Xenopus tropicalis: one gene and its partners. The protein of the gene in region 7 interacts with the protein of the main gene of each other region in a pairwise test. Links are inferred from orthologs where the notes say so. Each region holds a gene or a part of one and is shown on either strand. Other genes may lie near its edges.

Evidence for each region.
Region 1: the proteins of fsd2 (region 7) and pbx3 interact in a two-hybrid assay, tested with the Homo sapiens proteins (3 studies listed by BioGRID and IntAct). The two-hybrid records come from large-scale screens. The link is inferred for Xenopus tropicalis from reciprocal best matches to the Homo sapiens genes FSD2 and PBX3.
Region 2: the proteins of fsd2 (region 7) and coro1a interact in binary tests that used the Homo sapiens proteins (3 or more experiments, as listed by UniProt). The two-hybrid records come from large-scale screens. The link is inferred for Xenopus tropicalis from reciprocal best matches to the Homo sapiens genes FSD2 and CORO1A.
Region 3: the proteins of fsd2 (region 7) and brd8 interact in binary tests that used the Homo sapiens proteins (3 or more experiments, as listed by UniProt). The two-hybrid records come from large-scale screens. The link is inferred for Xenopus tropicalis from reciprocal best matches to the Homo sapiens genes FSD2 and BRD8.
Region 4: the proteins of fsd2 (region 7) and cdc73 interact in binary tests that used the Homo sapiens proteins (3 or more experiments, as listed by UniProt). The two-hybrid records come from large-scale screens. The link is inferred for Xenopus tropicalis from reciprocal best matches to the Homo sapiens genes FSD2 and CDC73.
Region 5: the proteins of fsd2 (region 7) and leng1 interact in binary tests that used the Homo sapiens proteins (3 or more experiments, as listed by UniProt). The two-hybrid records come from large-scale screens. The link is inferred for Xenopus tropicalis from reciprocal best matches to the Homo sapiens genes FSD2 and LENG1.
Region 6: the proteins of fsd2 (region 7) and esd interact in binary tests that used the Homo sapiens proteins (3 or more experiments, as listed by UniProt). The two-hybrid records come from large-scale screens. The link is inferred for Xenopus tropicalis from reciprocal best matches to the Homo sapiens genes FSD2 and ESD.

What each region holds. Positions count from the first base shown.
Region 1 is NC_030684.2:27,662,741-27,666,789, forward strand, and holds the start of pbx3 (pre-B-cell leukemia transcription factor 3), read right to left. Parts: upstream 2,801-4,049; 5' UTR 2,656-2,800; intron 2,602-2,655; exon of another isoform or gene 1,973-2,601; 5' UTR 986-1,972; coding exon 789-985; intron 1-788. UniProt on the Homo sapiens protein: Transcriptional activator that binds the sequence 5'-ATCAATCAA-3'.
Region 2 is NC_030685.2:2,354,822-2,359,007, forward strand, and holds the start of coro1a (coronin-1A), read right to left. Parts: upstream 2,801-4,186; 5' UTR 2,726-2,800; intron 1,285-2,725; 5' UTR 1,277-1,284; coding exon 1,079-1,276; intron 1-1,078. UniProt on the Homo sapiens protein: May be a crucial component of the cytoskeleton of highly motile cells, functioning both in the invagination of large pieces of plasma membrane, as well as in forming protrusions of the plasma membrane involved in cell locomotion.
Region 3 is NC_030679.2:47,838,773-47,842,980, forward strand, and holds the start of brd8 (bromodomain-containing protein 8), read right to left. Parts: upstream 2,801-4,208; 5' UTR 2,712-2,800; coding exon 2,693-2,711; intron 1,277-2,692; coding exon 1,180-1,276; intron 279-1,179; coding exon 209-278; intron 1-208. UniProt on the Homo sapiens protein: May act as a coactivator during transcriptional activation by hormone-activated nuclear receptors (NR). Isoform 2 stimulates transcriptional activation by AR/DHTR, ESR1/NR3A1, RXRA/NR2B1 and THRB/ERBA2.
Region 4 is NC_030680.2:113,580,043-113,584,192, forward strand, and holds the start of cdc73 (parafibromin), read right to left. Parts: upstream 2,801-4,150; 5' UTR 2,791-2,800; coding exon 2,660-2,790; intron 1-2,659.
Region 5 is NC_030683.2:104,890,749-104,894,258, reverse strand, and holds leng1 (leukocyte receptor cluster member 1), read right to left. Parts: upstream 2,132-3,510; 5' UTR 2,099-2,131; coding exon 1,967-2,098; intron 1,614-1,966; coding exon 1,428-1,613; intron 1,294-1,427; coding exon 1,037-1,293; intron 777-1,036; coding exon 569-776; 3' UTR 501-568; downstream 1-500.
Region 6 is NC_030678.2:134,606,982-134,610,954, forward strand, and holds the start of esd (S-formylglutathione hydrolase), read right to left. Parts: upstream 2,801-3,973; 5' UTR 2,733-2,800; exon of another isoform or gene 2,607-2,732; intron 1-2,606.
Region 7 is NC_030679.2:105,256,613-105,260,873, forward strand, and holds the start of fsd2 (fibronectin type III and SPRY domain-containing protein 2), read right to left. Parts: upstream 2,801-4,261; 5' UTR 2,609-2,800; intron 1-2,608.

The DNA of each region.
Region 1 (4,049 bases), on a different chromosome or scaffold from region 7:
GTACACTGTACTCATAACATCAAATCTCAATATATATATATATATATATATATATATATATATATATATATAGATATATACCCCCACACACATATTGTCAGGAACTAAGCAGCAGTTGGGTAGCAATTAATGACTACATAAACATTTTCCTTGATGTGCGTGTCCATATATACACATACACATGCCAATTTATAACACTCCCCCTAAAAGGCGCTTGAAAAGAAATATTTACGTGGCCCTGGAAGTAGATCTATAATTAATAGACAATATATGGATTAGAACCAGAAAATGGTATGCCTTTTTTTGTTGAGAAATGAATAAACCTAAAGAGGCATTTATAGGAAACACTCTGTTAATACATAGGCCAGTAAAAGACTAGTAATTTCCATCATAACCACATTTATTTATAATGATTGTTTTTCCCCCATATATAGGGACAGTGTCAACCCCACTGGCAGAAAGAGAAAGGACTGGAGGGGTCCTGGAAGCTACATTTACAAGCACCAGGGGAGAATCTCTACATACAAATAAACAAGAGCCTGGTTATAGCTGCGAGCTGTGTTTATATCAGTTTGCTAGCGTGGGCATCATCTCACCCCCATGCAAGCAGCTTCGAGCAGCATCTCAGACACTGCTCATCGCTACCCAAACATGTGCTGGTTTATTTGACAAACAGCTTGTAAGAAGTTGTTCACTCCAAGATGAACTGGAGTGATGTGCTGCTGTGATGTGTTGGGAGGGAAAGGGGTGATGTGTGTGTGTGTGTTTTTATTGCAGTGGAAACCAACTTTGCTTGTGCCTCATCCAAGCTTTGATCAGTTATGGTCATAATCTGGTGCAGGATGTCTCCAATGTCCTGCTTCCTGCCGTCACCATCTCCCCCATCGTGACCATGGGGAGGAGGTAAAGTCATTCCCCCTTGAACCGAGTGGCCAGCCATGGCCACCCCAGCCAAAGTCTGCATCATCCTGGTCTGTTCGTCCATACTCTTCTCCGCAGCCTAATCAATGACAACACAGACTGCAAGGAGACCTCACAGCCAGTGATAGCACCGCTGTGGGGTTACTGCCCCACACATCAACAACGTCAACCGTCAGAATCCAACCAGATACCCAGTCTCTATGGACAGAGCAGTTTTAAATCAAGGTCTGTGATAGTATTTCATCCCACCAATGTAAATACCATCCAAATATCAGAACCACAACATGTAGGGTTTCATAAAAATGTATTACAGGTGCGATCGCCTTCAGCAGCTAAAATCTTTTTATTTTAAAAATGCTCTTTCTGAAGAGGTCAAGTTTCTTTTTTTTTTTATTCCAAGAAAACGTGGACGAGAAAAGGGGGCATATTAAAAGTTGCAAATGAAAGTCAGCATCTTCTTCTGTCTGTATTTTAATCTTCAGGTAATGACAGGTCAGTCAGAGTTTACTCCAAAATGACGGCACACACAGCAGAGGCATGATTTGTGTTTACTCCTTTCACATAGTGTTAAGTTTTCAATAGAATAACAAGTGAGCACCTGGTTCTGAGTTCTTGAAGTATTACGAGCTGCTGTAAATTCAGTCTTTATTTCAATTCTTTTCAATTCCAACAATGCATTCCAAATGAGGAAAATAAATCTGCTACAAAGATGTTCAAATGTAGCACAAACCTCTACGTCACTATAAGTACTAGTGACACATGTTCCTTCACAGCAGTTCCAGTCGTGTTTTATTATTAAAAAAAAAAAAAAAATCAAGTTTCTATTCGGTGCTTATCCCATCCATGCATTTTGGCCAGCATAGAAATGAATTACATTCAGACTATTTTGATGAAAAGATCAACGCGTTTTCAGCAATGTCCACGATGGTCATTTATTGATCCCTTTTGATTTTTTTTTTTGATTTCGGACCAGGGTTTTCCAGTCAATCCTTCATCCACTTCTCTGAGCGAGCGCTGCCAATCTCCGGCTGCTCCGGTAGTATTCTCCTTTCTAAGAGAAATAAATAAATCAGTGACTGATGGTAGCTCCTTTGCAGGGTCGTGTCCAACATCAAATCAGTAGTAAAAAAAAAAAATAAATAAAAGAAAACTACAAAATTAAATATTTGTATAGAAAATCTAAATGAAAGTTGTGCCCAGGGGTGGGGGGAGAAGAAGCAGCAGCAGCTTGAGCTATTAATGGGAGTAATAAGATAGAAATGGTTAAGGTGCCCGGTGTGGGGAAGATGATGATGATGATGATGGTGGCTCAGAGCAGCAATCAAAAAAAGTTTTTTTTCCCCTTCTCGGCGGCGGCGGCGGCTAAGGGGAGCTGAGGGGAAGAGATGGATGGAGGGGCCGGTGCCGGGACTCCCGGGCGGGATTTATGGCTGCTTCCCCCGCTATTTCGCTCTTGCCGGCTCCGGTGACGGATTGACAGGCTGCCAACGCCACTCACTCACTGCGGACGTGTCAGACTTTGAAGGAGGGGAGGAAATAAAAAGGGAGACAAAATATAAATAATGGAGGTAGGCTCCTCCTCCCCGTGTGCGGGGCCCCGAGAAAGGAAAGGGGGAGGGGCAAAGGGCGGCGCTATTGTCGCTTCTCCCCACTCTCCTTCTATCCCCCGCCCGCTCCCCACTCGCCTCGGAGAAATGGCGCGGGTTTGGCGGTTGCTAGGGCGCTGCGACGCACCTTTGCCGCCGTTGCTATGCGAGGTGTGACAGGTAACCAATGGCCTGTCTGAACTTTGCTCTTCTTCCTATCATCGTTAGCCGGTGAAGGTGAGAGCAAGGTAGGTTGCCGCCGCGTAGTGTTCCCGCCGGTCCAAACACTTTATGATTCGTGAATTGGAATGTTCATACTCATACGGTCATTTTTCTTTAGTGGGCGGGGATTGGGCGGCTGGTCCTCCTCTGGTTTCCATGGCAGCGGGCAGGGCGGGAGATTGAGGGATGCTGCGAGTGAGGAGAAAGGGCAGCATCAGCTCCGCTCTCGTTGCTTCTCAGTGAGGAAAGTGGCTGCCCAACTCGGGTAAAAGTTGTCGTTGAACAGGGTTTTTGGAGTTTAGTTAAGCGTGAGTATCCTGCAGGCCCACCTGGTATGAAGGATATATAAACAACATGTTACCTGGTTATGTTGCATAATGTTATTTTTTTTTCAAACAAAACAAGGTATAAATGGTGAGAGAAGGAAGAGAGTAGTAGAAAAGCTTACATTTTATGCTCTCATTGGAACTAATAAGGCTGCTTAGGCACTTACATTGGTAGGTCTCAAGTATCTCCTATCTAGGCAGGGGGTCCCCCCCCAATGTCCAACCATGGCTGCCATATTTTGGCCAACTTTGCTGGACATCGTCTGGCTAGTTATGTCAGTTTTAGCCGCTGCAATTACCATTGGCTCCAAAACTCAACCCAGGCTAATGGTAAGGTAGTGTTGAACATAGGGCTGGGCGATATACCGTTTAATACCGAATACCGGTGTTGTTTTTTTTAAACTATATTCATTTTTCAGATACCGCAATACCGGGGTGTCAGGGTACTCACCCGTGCGGCCCGTTGTCTGCGGGACATTGCGCACAGGCGTCCAGGTGCGCGTGCGTCAAAGCGCACGTACATATCAAAGCGTGCACGTCCATGATGCGCTGATGGCGCCGGTCCTGCGCATGCGTGGGGGATATTTAAAGCTATCAAACTCCTCCTCCTGTGCTATGTTGTCTGCGGCCTTGCCTGGGAAACTAAGCCTGCCTGATTTACCTTACGACTTTCTGTTGCCGATCCTTCGCTTGCCTGACTCTGATTTTCAATACTGCAGTAATTATTCTCTAATTTATTAGGAAATGGGGTTAACACCTAATCATGCATGGAAAAAAAAAATACCGTCAAATACCGTGACACCGATATAATTTTGAAAAATGTTTGGTCATACCGCCCAGCCCTAGTTGAACAACAGAATTGTAAGCAAGTTGCCTGCATGTATAGGTGGCTATATTGAACCCTATCCAGTAGTTTGCTTTTCCACATTGGTAGATGAAAGTTAATGAGGTACCCCAGCGAAAAGTATTTTTGAGCAATAAGGCTAGTCACATA
Region 2 (4,186 bases), on a different chromosome or scaffold from region 7:
AAGCTCAAACAGGACAAACTTCTGCCTGCACTAAGCTCAAACAGGACAAACCTCAGCCTGCACTAAGCTCAAACAGGACAAACCTCTGCCTGCACTAAGCTCAAACAGGACAAACCTCTGCCTGCACTAAGCTCAAACAGGACAAACCTCTGCCTGCACTAAGCTCAAACAGGACAAACCTCAGCCTGCACTAAGCTCAAATAGGACAAACCTCAGCCTGCACTAAGCTCAAACAGGACAAACCTCTGCCTGGACTTAGCTCAAACAGGACAAACCTCAGCCTGCACTAAGCTCAAATAGGACAAACCTCTGCCTGCACTAAGCTCAAACAGGACAAACCTCTGCCTGCACTAGGCTCAAACAGGACAAACCTCTCCCTGCACTAAGCTCAAACAGGACAAACCTCAGCCTGCACTAAGCTCAAACAGGACAAACCTCAGCCTGCACTAAGCTCAAACAGGACAAACCTCAGCCTGCGGGACACTTGGTGTCTCCCTCATTTATTTTAGGGTGAACACCTATAAATTCTGGGAGGATGAGCTCTCAAGCAGACAGCAATAGTTCCTGAAAGCACAGGAAGTGGACTGAGCGTGCTATATTTCTTCCCCCCCTCAGCTGGGCTCTAAGTTCTCACTGTGCCACAGTATAAATCCTCTCTCCGGGGCTGTTTGGTGTCGGCGCACGTCCCTCTCTGCCTGTGAGTGTCTACTTCGCACCTGCACCTCCCGCCCTCAGCATCCTGTAGCAACCACATCCTGCCGCTCTGTGCTCAGCCACTCACACGTGCACGCCCCCCGCTCCTACTCACCCCCCAGTACTCACCTGCTCCCCTCACAACCTACCCACTCACTATAGTGTTCTACAAATTTCCCACTGCACTCACACTGACAGCTCACTCACCCTCATCCCTGCTCACTCACATGCCAATAACTCACTTACCCCTCCCCCTCCCCCAATATTTAGTATTCCCTCACTCACTTCCTGCCTCTCTCACTCACTAACAACAATGTGCCCCACTCAGCTCCTGGGTGAGTGCTTGCTCAGTTTTCTCCCCTACCTGTACAGGTGAGTGACTCACCTTAGAGAGAGGCAGAACCATGAAGGCGCCCCCCCCGCTGGCCTCCACCACGATGGCCAGGAACTTGGGATTGACGCAGCAGAAGTTGGAGTCCCAGGTGTTCTGGGAGACGCGGATGTCGTCGTAACATTGGTCGGCTTTCACGGCTTGGCCAAAAACATGGCGGAACTTACTGGTGCGCACAACCTTCCTGCTCATGGTGCGGCCTGCGGGGGGGAGAGAGGATCATGGGAAAAATGAGGGGAATCAAATGCAATAGGGGCAAGAGGAAATATAGCGCAGAGCGTAGGGGTGCAAATGAGTGGGGCAAGTAGACTGGGGTGAGTGAGGCAGGAGAGTGAGGTAGTGAGTGAGGCAGGAGAGTGAGTGAGGCAGGAGAGTGAGTGAGGCAGTGAGTGGTACATGGGGGGTAAGAGTGGGAGTATATGCCACAGAGTGCGGCACCCAGAGAGTGAGTGTGAGTGAGTGCAGAAGGGATGAAAGTGAGGGAGGCAAGAGTGTCAGTAAGTGAGGGGCAACAGGGGGATTGAGGGGGGAGACTGAGAGGAAAGGTGGGGAGAGAGTGAGTGAGTGAGGTGGAAAAAGTGAGTGGGAGACGGTGATGGCAGGGTGAGAGGAGAGAGTGAGTGAGTGAAAGGGAAGAGAGTGAGTGAGTGAAGGGGAAGAGAGTGAGTGAGTGAAGGGGAAGAGAGTGAGTGAGTGAGTGAGTGAAGAGGAAGAGAGTGAGTGAGTGAAGGGGAAGAGAGTGAGTGAGTGAATGGGAAGAGAGTGAGTGAGTGAGTGAGTGAGTGAAGGGGAAGAGAGTGAGTGAGTGAAGGGGAAGAGAGTGAGTGAAGGGGAAGAGAGTGAGTGAGTGAAGGGGAAGAGAGTGAGTGAGTGAAGGGGAAGAGAGTGAGTGAGTGAAGGGGAAGAGAGTGAGTGAGTGAAGGGGAAGAGAGTGAGTTATGGGGTGAAAGTGAATGAGAGGGAGTCAGAGGGTGGGAGAGAGTGTGAGTGAGTGCATGAATGAGTGTGAGAGTGAGTGACAGAGGAAGGTGAGTGAGAGGAAATATAGGGGAGAAGAGTGACCCCGTGTCCAACCCTCATTTTGTGCCCCATTTGGGGTGTGAATTACTTTCCTACCCCAGCCTGGGGCATGATGAGCTTCTACTGCCCTTCCTGATTAACCCCTTCCTGCTCAGACCTGTGACCGGATTAACCCTCTCAGCCCCGTCTGCCCTGATTAACCTTTCACTGTCCCACTCTGTGCCCTGATTAACCTTCTCAGCCCCGTCTGTGCCCTGATTAACGCTCTCAGCCCCATCTGTGCCCTGATTAACCCTCTCAGCCCCATCTGTACCCTGATTAACCCTCACTTTCCCCAGTCTGTGCCCTGATTAACCTTTCACTGCCCCAGTCTGTGCCCTGATTAACCTTTCACTGCCCCAGTCTGTGCCTTGATTAACCCTCACATGCCCCAGTCTGTGCCTTGATTAACCCTCACATGCCCCAGTCTGTGCTTTGATTAACCCTCACATGCCCCAGTCTGTGCCCTAATTAACCCTCATTTGCCCCAGTCTTTGCCCTGATTAATGCACTTCTGCCCTGATTAACCCCCTCCTGCACAAGCCTGTGCCCTGATTAACCCTCTCCTGCCCCAGACTGTACCTGTGGGTCCCGGTGCTGTGGGTCAGATGCTCAGAGCCAGTCACTTCCTGCCCTCTCGCTCTCGCTCGCTCTCTCTCTGTCTCTCTCACAAGTTCTTCTTTTCTAAAAGATTCTCGGCAAGAGACAGGGGGTGGGCAGGAAACTAGGGCTGCACCCTTCCCTCATATCCAGCACAGGAGGGGTTAATAGCGCAATCATCTGCAGCACCCTTGCAGTTTGTTAAGGCAAAAAACCCAGGGCCGGGGAGCACCAATAGGGTGATGTTTTATGTACAAAGGGGTTAATGGGGCAATGCCCTTGGCAATAAGGGGTTAAAGGGGTTCTGCACTGAAATGAAAGTATCAATGGACTCATAGTCTGTAGATCACTGGCAGGAAGGAGTTAATAGACAGGGGCCTGATACTGGGAGAGGGGCCGCATATAAGCACTGGGCAGGAAAGGGTTAATAACTGCTGCAGAGAGAGTGATGGTGGGTGCATGGAACATCAAGGGGTTAAAGGGAAAATAGCCCCAACTCTGTATCACCCTTCTTAACCCTATCTGCCCCTACTAACCTCTATCTGCCCCATGTCATCTCTGCCCCTTCTTATGTCTATATGCCCCTACTAACCTCTATCTGCCCCATGTCATCTCTGCCCCTTCTTATGTCTATATGCCCCTACTAATCTCTATCTGCCCCATGTCATCTCTGCCCCTACTAATCTCTATCTGCCCCATGTCATCTCTGCCCCTACTTATGTCTATCTGCCCCTACTAATCTCTATCTGCCCCTACTAATCTCTATCTGCCCCATGTCATCTCTGCCCCTTCTTATGTCTATCTGCCCCTACTAATCTCTATCTGCCCCATGTCATCTCTGCCCCTACTTATGTCTATCTGCCCCTACTAATCTCTATCTGCCCCATGTCATCTCTGCCCCTACTTATGTCTATCTACCCCTACTAACCTCTATCTGCCCCATGTCATCTCTGCCCCTTCTTATGTCTATCTGCCCCTACTAACCTCTATCTGCCCCATGTCATCTCTGCCCCTACTTATGTCTATCTGCCCCTACTAATCTCTATCTGCCCCATGTCATCTCTGCCCCTACTTGTGTCTATCTGCCCCTACTAATCTCTATCTGCCCCATGTCATCTCTGCCCCTTCTTATGTCTATCTGCCCCTACTAATCTCTATCTGCCCCATGTCATCTCTGCCCCTACTTATGTCTATCTGCCCCTACTAACCTCTATCTGCCCCATGTCATCTCTGCCCCTACTTATGTCTATCTGCCCCTACTAACCTCTATCTGCCCCATGTCATCTCTGCCCCTACTTATGTCTATCTGCCCCTACTAACCTCTATCTGCCCCATGTCATCTCTGCCCCTACTTATGTCTATCTGCCCCTACTTATGTCTATCTGCCCCCACGCATCTTTATCTGCCCCTTGTCATCTCTATATCCCCGAATGCCCCATATCT
Region 3 (4,208 bases), about 57 Mb from region 7:
CCTGTTCTCCTTTGAACAGGAAACCAGTCAAAAAGCCCTTTTTAACAGATGCCTACTCAAAGGAGAAAAAAGGCTCAGTGTATTTAAGGGGGTGGAGCTTTAGTCCATACCCATACTGACAATTTCACTATATGCATTACAGTATGATATGTGGTTCTATGGTATAATATGTTCAAATACCAGTTCACAAGAGTTTTTTCTTTTATACCTTTTGAGAAAACCAATCAGGAGGGCGACCTGGCTCTGCAAAGGGCTTGATGGCACGACTCACTGATACCCTGATCACAATAAAAGCAGAGAGTCTGCATTAAAACCATGAAATACAATAAATATCACAAAAACAGGTAAAAGATGTGTGCAGTATGCAAGACACAATTAAGTGTTGACAAACCTAATATCATGTGTACATGGGTTTTTTCATAGCAAGCAGATAAGAAAGGGGATGGATGGTGATGTAAAAGGGGCAGACTGGGGGGCCGACGGAAAGAAATTTCTTAGGAAACACCGTTATGGGAAAACATGTTTTTTTTCAAAATGCATCTGTTAATAGAACTTCACCAGCAGATTCCTGGATTGAAATCCATTTTTCAAATACAGATTTTTTTAGATTTAATTTTGAAATTTCACATATTCTTCATCTCCCAGGGTGCTACAGTCATGTGACCTGTGCTCTGATAAACTTCAGTCACACCCCCCCTCCCCAGCACCCAATCAGCAGAACAATGGGAAGGGAGCAAGATAGCAGCTCCCAGTAGATATCAGAATAGTACTCAATAGTAAGAAATCCAAGTCTGGCTTGTGACTCCTCCAGTTACATGGAAGTAGGAGAAACAATATTACAGCTAAAAAAAACACATTTGTTGGTTCAAGAATAAAATTGTAAATGGTAGAGAGAATTATTTGCTATGTAAACTGTATTTTTTTTCTCAAGAAGCACACCATAAAAATCATGACAGTATCCCTATAAGTAAATGAAAAAAAAAAATTCCAAGCTGGGAATAGGGGCAGGCTGGTTGTGTAAAGGCAAGTAATTTATACCCACTCTGGGTTAGCATTTTACTGACAAGGTTGGTGAAATACCAGCCAGGTGACAACCCAAAACTGCCTTGTGCCCCGTTGAATACACTAGCAATAATACTGTATATGCATCACTAAAACGGTAACAATTAAATTCCTCACCAGTTCTGGTCGCCACTCCGCATTACTGAAGAAGCAAGACAAAGTTTCTCCCGAATAGACCATGGTTCTGTTGGACCAATATTCAACAGCTTGTGTTCTGATGGGAGAAAAGGGAACTGAATCAAATAGTGCTGGTAGGAATTTGTCAAACAAATGTTGTTAGGCTGCACAATGAAAACTGAACCGGAAGGCTAAACCACGTGCGTGTTTATGGGACAAAATGTTTGATTTTAAGACTTTTAATTTGTCGGCCAGGAGCATGGATTTAGCCAAATCCTGTTGAAAAAGGCTGAATCTTGGACGAATCCCAAACCAAATCATGGATTCAGTGCATTCCTACATCAAACAAGTTATTAACTCATATTTTACACCATATTGTGGATTTAATGCCTTAATCATTACTGAAGGACGTTTTGCTTATCTGGTCTAGACTTATTTACTAAAGCAAGCTAGAAAGCTTTCAGATGCCCCTTTTTTCACCTGGGTTCAATAAAAAGGGCTTACATACTTTTTGCCTATTTTTTGAACTAGGAAATATCTATAGTATTTGTTATTTCTTGCTCTAATCATGGCAAAATTTGAGGGAGAAAGTAGAAATAGAAGCGGAGCGCCGGGCAACAAGTTAGTAAAAACATGTATTTATTTCCATTTCATTAAAAACATAAAAAGCATAGAAGAGCGTTCTCACCCATACAGCTTGATGCGTTTCGTGGCTAGCATGCCACTTCCTCAGAAGCAAATTTGAAAATGAAAAAAGTTAAATTCTGCTTCCTGATCCCAAAGCGCAGAAAACCAGCAGCCTGCTAAGATGCCACTGTATTCTTAGTGGGCTTCTCAGTGGACTGCTGGTTTGTTTGAACTTGCTATTTGGAATGAGGAAAAAGAACCATATATACTTTTTGGCTACTCTTTTCATTAAGAAATTTCTGTGGTTAGCCTATGACTTTGTTCTTGGGAAGCACAAAATGCATTAGGCAATAGAGATGTTATGTCAATAAAGATGTTTTTTGTTGTTGTTTTTAAGAAATAACTTGATGTCCAAGGTTTTTTTGAGTGCCCAACTCCATTTTTGATGTTGATATACATGGGGCTGGTACACCTGGAGCAGATGTTGTGAATTCAACAAAGCTGCCTTTTTTACTTAAATTGGCTATTTAAAAAAAAAATCTAAACTAAGAAGCCCCACTGGAAGAAAGGAACAAGAAGCGCTTAGTCTCGATAATAGGAAGCCATATCCTCCTGCTCTGGGATGCTAGGATGTGTAGTCCCACCAAAACAAGGGCAGAGGATCTGCAACACTACATATTCATATACACACAACATGATTAAATGAACGGAGCATCCTCTAAAAACACACTAGTGTAGACTTATAATTTAGGTATATATATAACAGTACGCTATTAGGAAAAAAAAAATAAAATTGCTCCACCAGGACAAAATCGATTCGCGCGTTTCGGTATACACATACAACGAATATTGCTATTAAAAGCATTTGTAAGCTTTCTAAACTCACTTCCAGTCCCGGCAGCCATCTTCTCAACCACAACAGAACATCAAACTCTCACGATAACTACTAAGCACGCTGGGCCTGTGATCTCGTCGAATAGCATGGCGGGAAGTTTTGTTATTGTGGTTGGTTGCTAGATCTGGAGTGGTGCGCCGATCTTCCTATTGATGAAGGGGAACACAAGATGCCGCAAAATAGCAGTACGTCGGGTCAAACAGCTCTATAATTAGCTGTACCCGATCGCAATAATTTAGCCATCAGTCAAAATATTACTTTTATTATTTATTTTGCTTTTACTTATGAGAAAATGTAGCATTGTTTACAACCAAAGAACAGATACATGTCTCTTTTAATTTGAATTACATTTATCAATATCTTTAAACCAACTAGAAATATTTTTAATGTCGAATATGATTTAACACCCAAAGCCACAGATTTTTTATGTATGATGCAATAGCACAGTAATGGCAAAAAATATGATATAATGTGACATATATATATGGTACAACTGATATTAAATAATGAAATATAATAGTTAAGGTATACAAATTACAGTTTAACCAATGAAACAATATGGCCTTGTTTCTTTGCGGCTCCTACACATCTTTGACTCCGACTCTGACCATATTAACACCACTGTCTAAACCTGTCACTTTTTCTAATGCAATATTGCCAAAATCCATTCCTTTCTATTGCAACAGCTAGGCTGCTCTTGCATGCTCTCATCCTATCCTGACTTGACGACTATAACCTGCTACTAACCAGCCTCCCTAACTCCCATCTTTCCCCCCTTCAGTTTGTATTAAATACTGCTGCCAGAATTCTCCTCTCATCCAGGAGAGTTCAGGCCCTTCCAATGCTAAAGCCCTTATCATGGCTTCCCATTAAGGCTAATGCCAGACGAGGCGTAGGGCGGATATTTTCGGCAAGCGGAAAAGCGCTTGCTGAAAATTCCGCCCTACGCCTCCTACATGTGCCTGCACCCGAGCATATTCCATTCATTCGGGTGCAGGCACATGTAGGAGGCGTGGGGCAGAATTTTCAGCAAGTGTTTTCCGCTTGCTGAAAATATCCACCCTACGCCTCGTCTGGCATTAGCCTAAACAAAGAATATCTTGCAGATTCCTTCTTTTAACCGTCAAAGCCCTCCATTCCTCTGGTCCTCACTACATCTGTTCTCTTGTGTTTCCATACGTTCCTGGCTGACTCCTTCGTTCCTCACAGAGCAACCACTTGGTTGCACCCCCCACTTCTACTGCCTTAAACCTTTCTGCCTTGCTGCCCCTTACATTTGGAATGCGGAGATGGAGAGAATCCTCCCTCAGTCTTTTTAAAACTAAACTTATAGACTACCTTTTGGAGCACTCACACAGCACCTGATCTGGAAACTAGCACTTATATTGTAATGTCACCAGCTGTGACCTACAGCACTTATATTTGCCTATTTGTGTCTATAAGTTACCCTCCCATCTAGATTGGGACCTCCATCCTCTTGTCTCTTTGACTCTTAACTTGTTGCAAC
Region 4 (4,150 bases), on a different chromosome or scaffold from region 7:
AACGCTGCATATTTCCTCAAGGTCTGGCAGCTGCTTTTGTGTACACAAAGGAATAGGTTGCTGTGCAAATAACGGCGTATTTCGGCAAACGCATGAAAATTCCGTGGTGACACGTTTTCTAGCGTATTTCTAGCATCGAGACTGTTTAAGTTATTTCTATGGATGATGATATTGTGCGTTTTTCAACCGCCGAGAGAATTAGAAAATACGCAGCGTAAAACCGCCACGTGTGGCATCAGCCTTAACCTCTCTTTCTGTTTCTAATTGTATAGGTGGGTTACCTCTCAGAGTCTGTTATATACCAATTGGTAGTTTTAAAGCAGTATTTTAACTTTCAGTGCATGTGGAATTATACTAATAAAAGATTCCCATGTTTCAAAAATGTTTTTGACTGCTTTGTGTTTATTCAAGTACGCCTCTATCCAATCCATGTGGGAAGGGGGGGTCCCTGACCCATACTTTCCATCCATGCTCTTTTTAGGAAAAAATAAAATAAAACCAGCCAGGGGGAAAAAGTAATGCAGCAACACAGCCAGGTTACCAGCATTTCCCAGCTGTCCCTCTTCAGACATAGCCTTTGAAATGTTCAGGTATGGACCCATTATCTGGAAACCAGTTATACGGAAAGGCCATCTCCCATCAACTCCATTTTAAGGAAAGAACTTACATTTTAAAAATTTTATATTTCCTTTTGCTCTGTTTCTTGTACTTGATCCCAACTAAGATAATTTATCCTTAATGGAGGCAAAACAATCCAATTGGCTTAATTTAATTTATAAATGATTTTTAAGTAAAATATGAGGATGCAAATTACGGAAAAACCCCAGGTCCTGAGCATTCTGGATAACGGGTCCCATACCTGTACAACAGAGTAAAAGTTTTTAATTGTGCTCCACTGCACTTGCATGGGCTTAAAGGAGAACTAAAGTTTGAGAAGTAGAGCAGAAATGCAGCACATTATGTTTTGTGCTTCTGTACCAACACAAGGCAACAACAGCCATTCAGCTTGGAGGATCTGTCCCCCGAAATATACCTACAGTAGCTCCCCATCTTCCTTCTGCTGACGCACTGCACATGCTCTGTGCTGAACTAACTTACAAAACAGTGCATGTACACAGTATAAATGTCACAATAATACAGATTATTAGTACAGGGCAGCTCTGATACCAGTGCAATGTGCATCAGTATGTAATAATCAACCCTGCAGCATCAGCTTCTATGACAGGCAAAACACATTTTCTGCTCAAAAATTTGTAACAACCACTAAGCTTAGCTTATCAACAGAACAGCTGCTCTGAGAACACAGAGTATGTGCAGTGTTACTGACACTTCTAACAATCTAAAATTGGGAGCTCCTGTGCACAATTTTGAAGTCCTCAATAATAACTACTACTACAGAAACGCTAACCCTTTAGGGGTGTTCAATAAGTTCAATATATAAAGTATGACATTTTAAATTATATCTATTTGAAAAGTGCTATAAGGAATCGTACTGCCTGTAGCATGTATTGCCTTTATAGTCACCAATAAAAAGATGTTTAAAAAAAAAATAAAATAAAGCATTTCTATATATATTAATTTTTGAGTTCTTGTTTAAATCTGTGCTTGGGACACCTGGGTCAGGGTAGGTGGCTGCATTGTGTTGTGCTCTTTCTCCAAGGTAAAAAAAAAGTAGGGCTTTAATTCCCTGATGGGTGCCTCACATATTGGCATCCATGAGTAAATTCGCCTTTTCCAATTCCCAAATACCTAAAAATTATCCTAACTACACAAAAGGACTATGTTTTTGATAATGTGAACTTCCCCTTTAATCTGGGCTGGGGAGGACTAACTTGCATGAAAAAAGCACCTGTACAGCTTTTCAAAATCTCATTACTTTTACATACATAAAAATAATACTATTGTGTAACTGTATCCTTCTGATGTTACCTTTCTATGCAAACATGAAAGCATAAATACTATGTGTGCAGGCCAGAGATGCTGCCTGACTAAAGCTCCCACAATCCTAAGCATCTATTAAAGCTTTACACTTGCTGGGATTTGTAGTTCAGTAAGTTGTGGGGAGGCACATTTAGTCACAATGGATACATACAGACACAGATAGTAAGAGGAGGAAGGTATGGATGTACAGCATGTGTGAATAGTAATGTAACGATATAAATAAGAGGCAATGCCAGGAGTCTATTTGCCCAAGTGGGGAGAGTGTGCCATACACATATAGTCAGTAGTGATTTCAGGGACTTTGTGCAGCTCTCAGCAGCACTTGGGCAGAATAAGGTTGTCCTGGGATTCTGGGAGTTGTAGTACAGTGATCGCTGCCGAGTTGGGCGCTACAGAAACCTATGCCGAACTCCTATGGGTGGGATTCTACTTTTGCTCATAAACGGCAGCTGCCACAGTCCCTCAAAACTTCGACAGAATTTGGGGATGCTGGGAGCTGTAGTTGCACAGGCACCACGAGTTACAGGTTGGAGTTACCTGGATAAATCTGTCTGTGCTTGGCCCGGGGCCAGTGCAGTGTGTGTGTGTGTGTGTGTGTGTGTGTGTGTGTGTGTGTGTGTGTGTATGTGTGTGTGTGTGTTGCACATGCCTAGTGAGCACCCAAACAGGGGAAGGACAGAATGACAGCGATTGCTCCCCGCTTCTGCGCCATACTCACCCCCAAATGACATAGTTGGTCTTAACATTCTTGGGCCAGGAGAACTCCCCGAAGATAACCTCATCTCCTTTCACATTGATCTCCTTCTTTTGGATGTTGTACTGACGCAGAACGCTCAGCACGTCCGCCATCTTCTTCTTCTCCTCCTCCGCCTCCTCACTACTCCCGAGGATGCGTACAACCTACTGGTGGTGTTGCTTAAGCGAAAGCCTGTTCCGACAACAGCAAGGACCCAGGAGGGCCAAGCTGCCCTATGTAATGCCTGCTCAGATCTCACACAGGACCAAAGAGCCAAGCGAGCCGGAACCATCTACAACAAGGACGCAAACGCGAGAGGTGTCCCAGGAAATGCCTGCTCAGAATGCAGGCCATACGCATGCGCAAAAGCAATCCATCTCTTGCATGTTGGTATGCCCGTCTGTAGGTATTGGTAACTAGGTAGTGTAAACAACTCTGCCAGTTTGTGAAAACCAAACGGTGTATTTGTTTTGGGCCTCCAGTATTATTGGGTGCAATGGGTAAAATCTGGGGGTAAAAGCAAAATAGAAGTATTATTTGATCAACAAGGGCACATTAAAAAAAGAAAATCATTCTTTTTAAAATGAAATTCTTATTTAACAATTGCACCTTATTTCCATGTATATACTTTTTATGCCTAGGAGTATGGGATGTGCAAAAGATATAGCAATTAGGGTAGGGATGTGCAAAATGACTAAAAATTATATTTATAGAAATGTGCATAGCAAGAGAATGGCAGCTGGTATGGGGTGATGTACTGTTGTTTTATATTCCCACCACAACAGAACAAATTAAGATCAATCAATTATTTAACCTATTTGATCATCTTACTGCAAGTTTTTAAGGACAATTAAAGGTAGAACTTCATGTTTGTAGATATACAGGCCGGTATTTGTGGCAAGGCCATGAAGATTAGGCCTAGGGCAGCACACATTCAGGGCCGGCATGCCGCCCAAGCCACACATGAAGTTTACTTACATGCAGGGCACTGGGGATTATGCACGGGAGGTTTCCATGCACCCTGTCCCCTGTGCGCCAGATGTAGGACGCGACCCTGTGGGAGGGGTGGGGGGAAGCTGAGGATGCTAGCCTCTGAGTGCCTAAAGAGAAATCCAGTCCTGTAGATATAATTACAGTTTCTTGTACAATTGTTTCATGCCATACAATACATGGCTTCAGAGAACACCCCTACATACTTTCTGGATCCTCTACTGCAGTGTTCCCCAACCAGTGGCTCCTGAGCAACATGTTGCTCCCAAACCCCTTGGATGTTGCTCCCAGTGTCCTCAAAGCAGGTGCTTATTTTTTAATTCCTGACTTGGAGGCTGTCAGTCTACATAGGGGCTACCAAATAACCAGTCACAGCCCTTATTTGCTATCCCCAAGTACATTTTTCATGCTTGTGTTGCTCCCCAACTCTTTTTATATTTGAATGTGACTCATAGGTAAAAGAGGTTGTGTACCTGCTCTACT
Region 5 (3,510 bases), on a different chromosome or scaffold from region 7:
AAGCATATTTCTGAAAATGTATACTTATGTTTGAGAGATTTCATTGTTGAAAAGACAGTAATCACTAAACATGCCAGACCTCTCTATCCCTGTGTAGTTCACAATCCAAATTATGTGACTGTTTTGGCAATAACCTGACACTTCATGTTTTTCCCCAGTGCTTTTGTTTCATGATTAATCTTCCTTGTATCAAACAACATTTTCTTTAATCTCATGTAGAAACAGGCATAAGGAAAACTCCTGTTCTAGAATGATTTTTCTGCCTGGTATAAAGTAGAGCACCAATTACAGGAATCCAGTTTTATATAATTGCAACCAAGAAAAAGCCTTGGTGTATGTAAGCACTGCTGTACAACCTATGTAGAATTTACTTTCTATCACACCTGTGTGGTTTAAAAATGGGTAATCCTCTCCTGTCCTGCTACTCAGTGCAGACGTCTGGCATTTTGTAGGGGCTTGTGGTCCATTAACCCAAGTGCATTAGGACATTCTACAGCAACTTGGAAATATATACATTTTATTATCAGAGCTATGAGATGTAGAAATATTGCCATTAGTTTCTTTAACATCACCGCTGTGGCTCTTCTCGCATTTTAGGTTTTCGTGCCAGCTGTGGGTTGAACTGAGAATTGTAACGGCGTGTTCGGTCATCCATTTCTTGTTCTGGTTCTGCAGACTCCTTTCTCCCTGATAGCAAGGCTTCAGCCCGAGCTCTCTCTGCTGCCTCTCTCTTGAGACGTTCCTGCCTTAGTTGCTCTATTGATGGCTTGGTGGGTCTACAAGACAAAGAAACAAATCACTCTAAATCATGCAGCACACTCCTACCAAGACCAAACTTTCTAGAGGCTGGAGACATTGCCTACATTACTACTTCTGCCAAATATTTACATTGTGAGTTAGCTCATTCAGCACAGAACAAAAGAACTAGAGAGACAAAGGCAGTGGATTTAATTGAGCACTGGGATCCATGGGCTTCTAATTAAAGCAGCAGGAATACCTGTAGACTAGCAGCAAATTCCAATTTTGTCTAACCTACCTGCTTTCTTGCCTGGATTTATGTTTGTTTTGCTTTTCTTCTTTAAATTTCTTCTTTTCTCCAGATTTCTTCTGCAAGTATTTCTCCATGTCATGTAAAGGATCTAACAGGTTTTTCACCTTTTCATCCTTTGCGTTGCCATCTTCGGCCTTACAGTGGCGACCAGGGACTTCCTGGTACCATGGGCGACTGGTTTGGGCTTCTGCAGCACTTTGTCCTAAATATGTAAGAATGCCCAGGGTTTTTTCTTGCCGCTCCTGTGTAAATTATCCATAAAAAACAAAGCAAAACCCACCTAAGAAATCAAGTTAAATACAAATAATTTAAAATACAGTAAGGGAAAAGTTGTCAAAACACACAGCCTCTCCTGCAGTAAAGTAAAATAACAGACCTTTTCTTTACGTTTCTCCTCTTCATATTCTTTGTTGCCTTTGTTTGTTCCTTTGCCCTCCTCCACTTCTTGAAAAAAGTTGATGTGGCCAGAATCCTTGGTGAGTTCCACCGAGGAAGTCCCATCACTCCTGTACTCTTCTGGCAAGGAGAGACGAGCCTTCTTACGCAGGAAATCTGTCCGAGCCTGAAACGGCAAACACACATGTGCAACCAAGACACCTTCCGTCTAATGTACCTGGCACCCTCTGGCAGCAGTGTCTCCATGACTGAGTACCAAAGAATAATGTAGATCTACTGGAGATGCCAAGAGTATTACAGTTGAACCACTGCCCCATGGAGAACATTTGACCACAAGGCCAGTGTCAAACGGTATACCATTCCGCGCCTTTACAGAGATATGCGCAATGTGAGCTTGATGCAAGAAACAGGCGCAATCGCTCTCTGTGTGCAACATGCACATTTTTGCCTCTGTAGTATATAAGGCCTAGTGTGCCTTTAGAGCCGGGGTCTATAGTTTCACTGCAGCGCTACTCTCACCTCTTGTTCTGCGAGTTCCACCCGTTTCCTACGCACTCGCTCCTCTTCCGCAGCCTGTGCCTCGTCCTTCCTAACGCGGGCCACGTTATCCTTATTACGCACATGCCAGCTCTTCTTAGGCAGGATATTCATGGCAACTGTCCTGTCACAATTCCACCAAATAATCCTGCTTTAACTTTCAACTCCGTGATTCCTTCCGGACACAAATCCAGACGTCACAAATCTCATCTCGCGAGATCGTTGCGTCACGCCGCATAACGTAAGCGCGGGGGCGTGGTACGTACGAACCTTTGGGGGCGGGAGTACGTCCGTGTCACATAAGGATAAGCTGTTGGTTGTGGCATGTCACTTGAGTCCGCTTGCTATTGTAATTGTCTTTGCTTGTAGCGCCTACTTCTGACAGGGAAAAGTCACTGCGTTCCCAGTCTTTATGATTTTCATTTAAAAAAAACATTTTTTTTTGCTTTGTTTAGTTTTAGCTTGGGCCAGGGAACAAATAAAATAATTTTCTCAATTTGACCAGAAAGGAAAGAGGGGAAACTAGGGATGGGAGAAATGTAGAAACAGTTTAAAACAAGGGCTAATTTAGAAGAATTAAAATGGATGAAATAAACCAAAACTAATCTTGAGTTTTTAGGATTTTTTTCATGGCATGGGAGAATGCTAGTATATTTGTGCAAACAAGAGAACTAAGAGCTACTGTAGGCACCATTCATACTTACCAAGCACTTAATTGTAGGCTGTGAATTGATTTTTCTTTTTTTATATCCACAGTGCCGGGGCAGGAATAAGCGTCTGATGTGCAGACTGTGGAAACCAGATTGTTTGCAATTAATGGACAAAACAAGGGCTGATTTGGGACAAGACTTCCTACTCCTGCACCATTTTAGGAAGGAAGGAGTTCAAATAAGAAACAATGGCAGTGGCACAAGGGTTCCACTTCTTTTTTGTTCCTAAACTGTGGATGATGGGAGGGTTTAAAGCAGTGATCTCCAACCATGTTGCTCCCCAACCCCGTGGATGTTGCTCTCAGTGCCCCCAAACCAGGTAGTTATTTTTGAATTCCTGACTTGTTGTCAAGTTTTTGTTGAATAAAAACAAGATTTACTACCAAATAAAGCCTCCTGTAAGCTGATAGTGTGCATAGAGGCTGCCTAATAGCCAATCACAGCACTTATTTGGCTCCTCCATGAACTTTTATGGTGCTTGTGTTGCTCTCCAAGTCTTTTTACGTTTGACTGTGGCTTATGAGTAAAAAAGGTTGGGGACCCCTGGTTTAAAGGTACACTAAAGCCTGCAGCACTGCTCAACCAAACTTTACTCAGTTGTTCCTGGACTACAAATCCCAGAACAATTTAACATATAATGAAGGGTGAGCTGTAGTCCAGTAACATCAGGGGTTGTATTCTTAAAGCAATATTGAAACATTTCCAAAACCTTTCCCCAAATCTCCAGGGCCAGTGGCTGCATTAAAATGCAAAAAAAATTCTCCAATGAGAATCCCAGCTGATCTGTGTAACTCTGACTTCCTGTTCTTTGTTCCT
Region 6 (3,973 bases), on a different chromosome or scaffold from region 7:
TGCGTATTTCCGCAAGGTCTGGACGCTGCCTTTGTGTATACATAGGAATAGGTTGCTGTGCAAATAACGGCGTATTTTGGCAAACGCATGAAAAGTCCGTGGTAATGCGTTTTCTAGCGTATTTACGCATAGTGTGTTTTCCATCGAGACTGTTTAAGTTATTTCTATGGATGATGATATTGTGCGTTTTTCAGCCACCGAGAGAATTAGAAAATACGCAGGGTAAAAACGCCTCATCTGGCATCAGCCTTAGATTAGAGGAACGGAGCTTCCATTTGAAGCAGCGTAGGTGGTTTTTCACGGTGAGGGCAGTGAGGTTGTGGAATGCCCTTCCTAGTGATGTGGTAATGGCAGATTCTGTTAATGCCTTTAAGAGGGGCCTGGATGAGTTCTTGAACAAGCAGAATATCCAAGGCTATTGTGATACTAATATCTACAGTTAGTATTGATGTTTGTATATATAGTTTATGTATGTGTTAATAATAGATTGGTAAGTATAGGTTGTGTGTGCTGGCTTTACTTGGAAGGGTTGAACTTGATGGACTCTGGTATTTTTTCAACCCTATGTAACTATGTAAATGAATGTTGAGAGTTGTTATAAAATATTGGGGCTGATTTATTAATATAGGTGCGCAACTGCATGAATAGGTTGCCCATTTCAACCAGCAATTCGCTTACATTTTCTATCACGCAGTAGACTGATTAAAATAATTGCTGATCTATTCCTACTGGCAGTAGCACTAGGACCTATAGCATGCTACTAAATGCCCCATGGAGTACTACAAGTTGCCTATGCCTGCAATGGTCTGGCTTGGAATCGCACTTGATAAAGGTAATGTGGCATACAATAAGTTGTGTCGTTGTGCTAAATCTCCTCCAGTACGGACGAAAAAATGTCATAGTGAATCTGTGAAACTTGACTTTCTTCCTCATCAAATGTATTTGCTGTCTAAAATGGGGGGGGGGGGGGGGGGGGTGGCAAACAAAGGTAAGTTTATGATGTAAAAATGGCAGAACAGTGACACAAGGAGGTGGAGTGATGAAAAAAAGTTGTGGAGCTATGATATTACATACAGTTAGAGGACAGATTATAAATAGATCAGGGAATAGGTAAAGCAGATCTGGGGCGGGCCAGGGCAGTGCCATGACTAGCGTATCCAGGCCCTCCTGCAAAAAATCTTCGGAGGGGTCTGGCGCACAGTGATCCATGCCCCAATCTGCCACCCGTACTTTCAGAGCCACCGTTGACATCTCCCCATCGGCAGGTAGGAGAGTGGCTGGGGAGGGGGGAATTCTTATCAGCTATAGAGGAATCAGACCACAGGGCCCCACTGTCCCCCCCAGCGAGGTCTGCTTCCTCTATAGATAAACCACCGGGCCAACAACTGCATTGCTGGTAAATTTGTAATACCAAATACCACCCAGGGCCAAAACTAGGGGTTGACAGAAGAAGCATGTGCGAGGGTTACACGGTGGGTGAGGTAGTGGCGGGTTTCTGTTTGGGGCAGCCAGAGGCCCCCACAGGATTGAACCACACCTGCATCCTTTTTGCTCTCATACAGAGCACTGGGGACAGGACATTTCTGCACTTCCCATCCCTTGTGCTCTGCATGTGAGCAGATTTTATGTGCAGATTAGCGGCATGACGACCCAGGTCCGGGCCTTTATGGCCTCGCTACAAATTCAGGCCTGGGTGAGGGGGGAATGCTAGGAACATACCTCATCTGCCTACCCCTAGATCAGGCCTTCCAGTTCCCCGTGCCACGTGTGCTCATCTGGGGAGCAAGATGGTTGGCTGGTAGGGTTGCCACCTGGCTGGTAAAAATTATGCTTGATGCCAATGTTATTAATAGGAAAAAGCATAAAAATGTAGGCTGGCCAGAAAAGGTGGCAACCCTACAGACTGGGTAGCCAAAGGCACCTGTCTCTCTCAGCCCAGCACTGGCCACAGTCAGATGGCAACCTTACACAGCACAAATGCAATGGAACGGAATGCATAAGAGCCTTACTTCCAACAAGTGCAAATTTTCCAACAATATTAAAACTCAGTTTCAGGAGCAAGTTCCCCTTACTGTAATATACATTCTATTATATTCTTGCATAGACGTGATTGGCTAAAAGGAAACATCTATTGGCTGCCATTGATTATCCCGCCCTCTAAATACAGACGAAGCGATTAGTGCAGGGAGGGAAGAGAATTGTGAGAGTGGGCGGGGCTTGTGAGGCTATATTTGAGCAGAGAGACGCCAGTGGGTGCGATAGCTGTATCTCATATTACTGTGACAGGAGGGTGGGCACGCAGCATATTGAAGTTGTCAGAGGCTGCGCTACATCCAGTTACAGGGATACGGGGCACCGTACAGCCAGCTATGTTTAGCGCGGAGAGCCCTGCTTATATCCCAGCCGCCCATTGGCTGCATGTAGCCCCGTACCGACACACCCCCTCCCGCCGGGCACGTACAACTTGCGACTCGCTCCCGCTAATATAAAGACGCTGCTAATGGCGGGCAGGAGGCTGCGGGTTATGTCAGTGTCACGGTGTGTGTGCATAGGCACACGGTCTGATTAACAACTCTAAACACAATGACATCTATTAACTACCCGCCTTAAGGTCTCTTACAGGAGAGGTGGCGTTCTCCTGACTTTGCCGTATTAGCACCAGAGTTTGATTTCTTGCCAACTTTCGCCCCAAAGGTTCTTATTTTCCTTTTCCTGTCAGTGACATTACATACCTGGCTGCTGCAGCTACACACTTTCCCACAACTGCCCAGTCCTCTGTGCTCCCGAGTCAGCCTGGAGCCGAGTCTGCTCTGCACTGACCCCTTCAGGCTGGAGGATGAATGGGCGCAATTTAAGATTTCTCTGTTTTAGGCGAATTTGCTTAGTCTGGGTTGTACTATTTCCGCAACTTAAAAGCCAGCAGCTTGCTTCTTTGTCATTAATCGGGTCAGGTGTTTTAGGGGAAAGTTCCACCAAGCAAATGTGCCCAGAGTAGGTTACAAAGCCGCTGGCCCCACAGAGAAGTTCAAATCTCTGCAGGAGTTAATGAGAGGTTCCAAGCCTCTTTTTCTCAAAAATGTCTTTTTAAAAATAGAATACTGAAAATAGGAATTACGGTATTTTTAATTTAGATTTTCTGAAACAGTTCATTGTTTAGCTAGCCACAACATGCCCCAGCAGCGCTTATTGCTGTCAAATGGTGTGTTTGTGCAGGCCATTATTATTCCTGAAATAGCCAAGCAGTTAGTTGCATTGCCAACGGAAAGTGTGACTGTGTAAGTGTTTTGCCTCTTTCCCTATTAAATAGCTGGCTTTTACATGGTTAGCTAAACCAGCATGCCAACAAGCTTAGTCCCTTCATCCTGGCTCCTGCTGGGGCCCAGACATGTATGCCTCATTCAGTGGAATGTTGTGTATCTGACATTTGCTGCTGCTGGACAATACATAAAGTGCATTAACATCAGAATCTGAACCTGGGTGACTGACATTTGGGAGGTGTGAAGTTTTGCCTGCAAGTATTTTCTGCCATTATTGGCACCAAATGTAAATTATGCCTGCATATAACTGACTCTCCTTCTCCCCTAGGCTGCATAGTCAGTAGGTTGTGGAAATCTTAAATTAGGTTTGAAGACAAGCAAAAGCATTACAAGGTGGAAAGATAAACAGAGCCTCCTTGCTTAACTGATGCTCAGAGCAGTGATCAAAGAGAAAAAACTTGCACTTAAAAGAATGTCGGAAAAATCAGGGACACCTAATAATTGCTGGGATGCATTGATTGGGTTTAAATGAAATGCAGTTGGTGCAGTCTTTTAACTGTATTATCTAGAACTGTTTCCCACATGATAGGATAAACTTTAACTTAAAGTTACCATACAAGGGCACAATTTAGCATTGGATTTGGCTCCATCAGTTTGAGTTGGCATCTTATCTGCCTGTGTATGGGGCACTCCGAAGGACCTACCCGACCAATATA
Region 7 (4,261 bases):
TATTTGCTAGAAGTTTATAAAACGGTAGACCCCTTGAAGATGTAGTTTTGAAAATATATTTTTCAGTTGAATCATCTCCACCTATTTAGGCTCAATTCAACAGGTATTGAGGAGCTCTGGCACCAGCAGAGACCCAATACAACTCAGGGTGATATAAGAGATGGAAAGGTGGATATAACCCAAACCATGTACTCAAGGCCAACCCCAGGTCAGAGCAGAAAAAAAAAACTATGCAGATCAGTTGAGAGAAAAAGCAGAGTAGCAGGAAGAGTTTTAGTAGATCCTCTAAACAGAAGTTTGAGCAACAGGTAAGGTTATAAATATACCCTTTAGAAGGCAAAACATGAGGAAACAGAGAATCAAAAGGATCAAAGGTATCAAGAGTATCAAAATGCACACACAACAGTGTTCCAACAATGACACAACAGTGAGTTAAAGGAATCCAAGCACAAGCCTGCCAGAGTGGGGCCTTCACAATACCCTTGAAATATAATAAATAGGATTTTTTTACACAACAGATTGTGCGGTAATCTGCAGCAGTAACAATCATTCAATAAGTAAATGACCACTGTAATAAGCAAATCTTAGAATAAGGGCTCTGGTACACGGGGAGATTAGTCGCCCGCGACAAATCTCCCTGTTTGCGGGCGACTAATCTCCCCGAAATGCCAATTTCCCTGACGCGATTTCCCTGAAATCGTGGAAGTTGCCTTGAGAGGAAACTTCCACGATTTCAGGGAAATCGCGTATGTCATCCCACCGCCGATTTACATTTTCGCCGGTGGGATGGCATTTCGGGGAGATTAGTCGCCCGCGAACAGGGAGATTTGTGTGCCAGAGCCCTAACCTGTAAAATATATCCTTACTTGTTAAATAGACTATCGATAATTAATTGCGCTAATTGCGCTATAGATAACATGTATAGGTCATTCAGGCAAAGCACAGCATTTCAGGGGCATAACTAGTCCTTAGGAGCCATTTAGAACTGCAAGCACAGTTGTACTCCCTTTTTTCCACACTGAGTTGCACATTAAACCCAATTCATTAAGGTACTTTCTTCAAAATACTCTTCTTGCACGTCCATATAGTTGTGCCCAACATATAGATGTGCCACTGCACTTGCAGACATACTTGACCCATATTAAAGTGGTGCACTTCACCAGAGTGCCAGGTGTCAAAATATAAAATATAGCTCATCTAAGCAGTGTATATCTTATTGTAACTGTATGTATGCAGCACAATCTCTGACTATAATATACAGTAGTTGTTTGGGTGACACCAAATTCTATATTATGAAAATTTTATCTGACTTTATAGCTTCTCTTTCATCAGAACATAGAATGGGCTTTGCAGTTTAGGCTTGATCAATATGATCCCATTTAAAAGACATAGTAATAGTAATGTAATAGTTAAAACAAATTCTATATCAAATCTTGGGTTGCAAAAGTAGATACTGTGACATACACTGCAGGTAAAACTAATCCTATATAAAAAGGTAACTTGTAGGGTATACAATAAATACTATATATTTGCCATCCATAGACTGGGCCTTTCAGCAACCAGATTAAACATGGCAGAATTGTTACATGATCCTCATAAGAAATAACGTAGAAATAAAATAAAGGCCCCCATACACGGGCCGACTATAGCTGCCGATATCGTTCCCTTGGACCGATTCGGCAGCTAATCGGCCCGTGTATGGGCAGAACAGAGCAGCCTGGCCGACCGAGATCTGGCCTGAAATTGGCCAGATCTCGATCGGCCAGGTTAGAAAATCCAGTCGGATCGGGGACCGCATCGGCTCGTTGATGCCGTCCCCGAACCGACTGCCCCATAAACTCAAATGTTATTTTTTTTTAAGTCCCTTGCTACCCGATATCGCCACCCGTAGGTGGGGATATAGGGTGAAGATCCGCTCGCTTGGCGACATCGCCAAGCGAGCGGATCTTATAGTGTATGGGCACCTTGACTGTAGTTAGGGCATTAGTTGCTCTTTATAAAAATATAAAGCCATAATTCAGAACTGATTGGAATTCAAATACAGGCCACACAGTGTTACACAAATCTGTGTAACACTGTGTAATTAATGCACTTTTCAGCAGCAAGCACTGCACTGCTCTCTCTCAGTGGCTTTGTTTAAGTATTTATGGTTACATGTTTTACACCTTTGGTGGGGGTGCACACTGAGATTGAGAGTTGAATCTGTAACCCTGGACAGCACAGTTACCTTCACTGATTGTGTTACACAAATCGAACAACACAGAATAGCCCAAGACAACTTTTTAAAATATTATATGCTGAAATTTCAATATATAAGATTCTGTTGGTTAGACACAAGAGAAACAGTTCTCACACTTACATAATCATATGTAACCGGAAAATGTTACAGAGCGTAAATCAATAAAGGACTGTAAAATTATGAGCTAAAATTAGACCTCTGGATTCTGACATATTTTTTCACAGGCCAGCCAATAATAACAGTAATTTTACTAGATTTTACTAGAGAGGGTTATCAAACTATAGTAAGTCATTATTGTACAGTAAATTACACACACAGGCTGAAGTAGCCTGGGACACACAAAGATACATGGTACTTGTGAAGATTTACCTGCTGATCCAGATTCTACGCTGCTGATAAAATATATAATCACATACAGTAGATTCGCCGATGTGTCCCTGGGACTGAGGCTTGAAAAGGCCAGCAGTAATTTTAGACAAAGTGCCCTGAAATACTAATGTCCATGCAGTGAGAGAGACTGACAAATATAGAATCTCCCCCAGCTGTCCTTCCCCTGCTAACCCTGCTCATGTATCAGAGGGAAGAAGCAGAGATTTGTGCCCGGGAATGTCTCAAACATGTCAGAGCAAGAGCTGGACAAATGCAAGCTGTTACATATATTTAACACACACACACACACATATATATATATATATCTATAAAGATTTCCTATGGCAGCACCACTGAAGTAGTAAATCCATGGCAGTAGAGGTAATCAACACCCTTAAATCATATAGAGAGTGCAACAAAGCATTACTGTTATTCTTTGCACAAAATCACACAACAGTAATAAACAAGCTCCAGACGTTAAAGTTTCTGAAGAATCCACTCCCTTTATCAAGTTGCAAATGTCTGATTAGCCTACCAAAGCTTCATAGCACGTCAAGTCACATATTACAGTCACATGATATAGATATTATACAGAAAAAACTTAGGTCCCATTGTAGTCTACAGACCAGCACACACTGAGTATCATTTAATAGATCCCAAAAGGGGAGGAAATTACAGCATGTAAAAAAAAAAGAATTTCTATATAAATATAGAAAAAAAACAGGGACGCTGCCATGAGGCAAGTAAGAAATTTGCCTCAGACTGCAATGCCCCAGTAATTACCAGGAGTGGCAAAATCTGCTCCTGGTAATCTTATAAGCCTAATTTCCTACTTATTGCACTAGAAATTCAGCTCTTATAGTGCAATTGCACTCTAGCAATCTGGCACCCCAAAGACTACTTCCAGTGCAAGAAAGGTAATTGCTGGGGGGTGAAGGTGGGGGCAGCATCTCAAGACCCATCTCAGAAAGGCTCATGTCATAGAATCACCCCTGAAATAAACAGAACAAAAAAAAAATTGAAGAAATAAATACCTCTGCATTTAAGTATGTTTGTACAGTCACCAACTTGTTGTCACTTTGCAACCTATTCCAGCACAACAAACAAAATTTAACAATAGATCTATGTTGTAAAATCTGACTGATCACATACTTGTAGTTTTGCTTGGATATATACAAGGCCACAGGGGCATCGTATAAAATAGCCAGATTGATCAATATTACTAACATTGACTACGATTATTGAACATTGTAATGCAATTTACATTGTGTGCAAGACCCATATTTGAAATTTTCTCAGAGATCCTAAAACCATAAGGGCAGTGGCAGGTGGCAAAAATAACATGTGGCAGAAATATCACAACAGCTTGCTCCTAGATCATATGCTGCTTTATTTTCTGAAATGCAGTCTGCAACAAATCTTTGTTACCGCGGGCGAATAATCTCCCCCAATGCCATCCCACCGGCAAGAATGTAAATCGCAGGTGGGATGGCATACGCGTGGCTAAGATTTCACGAAGTTGCCCGATGTTTCCTTGAAAGGCAACTTTGGGAAATCGTAGCAACGTGTATGCCATCCCAACTGCGATTTACATTCTTGCCGGTGGGATGGCATTGCAGGGAGATTAGTCACCCGCGATATTGAAGATTTGTT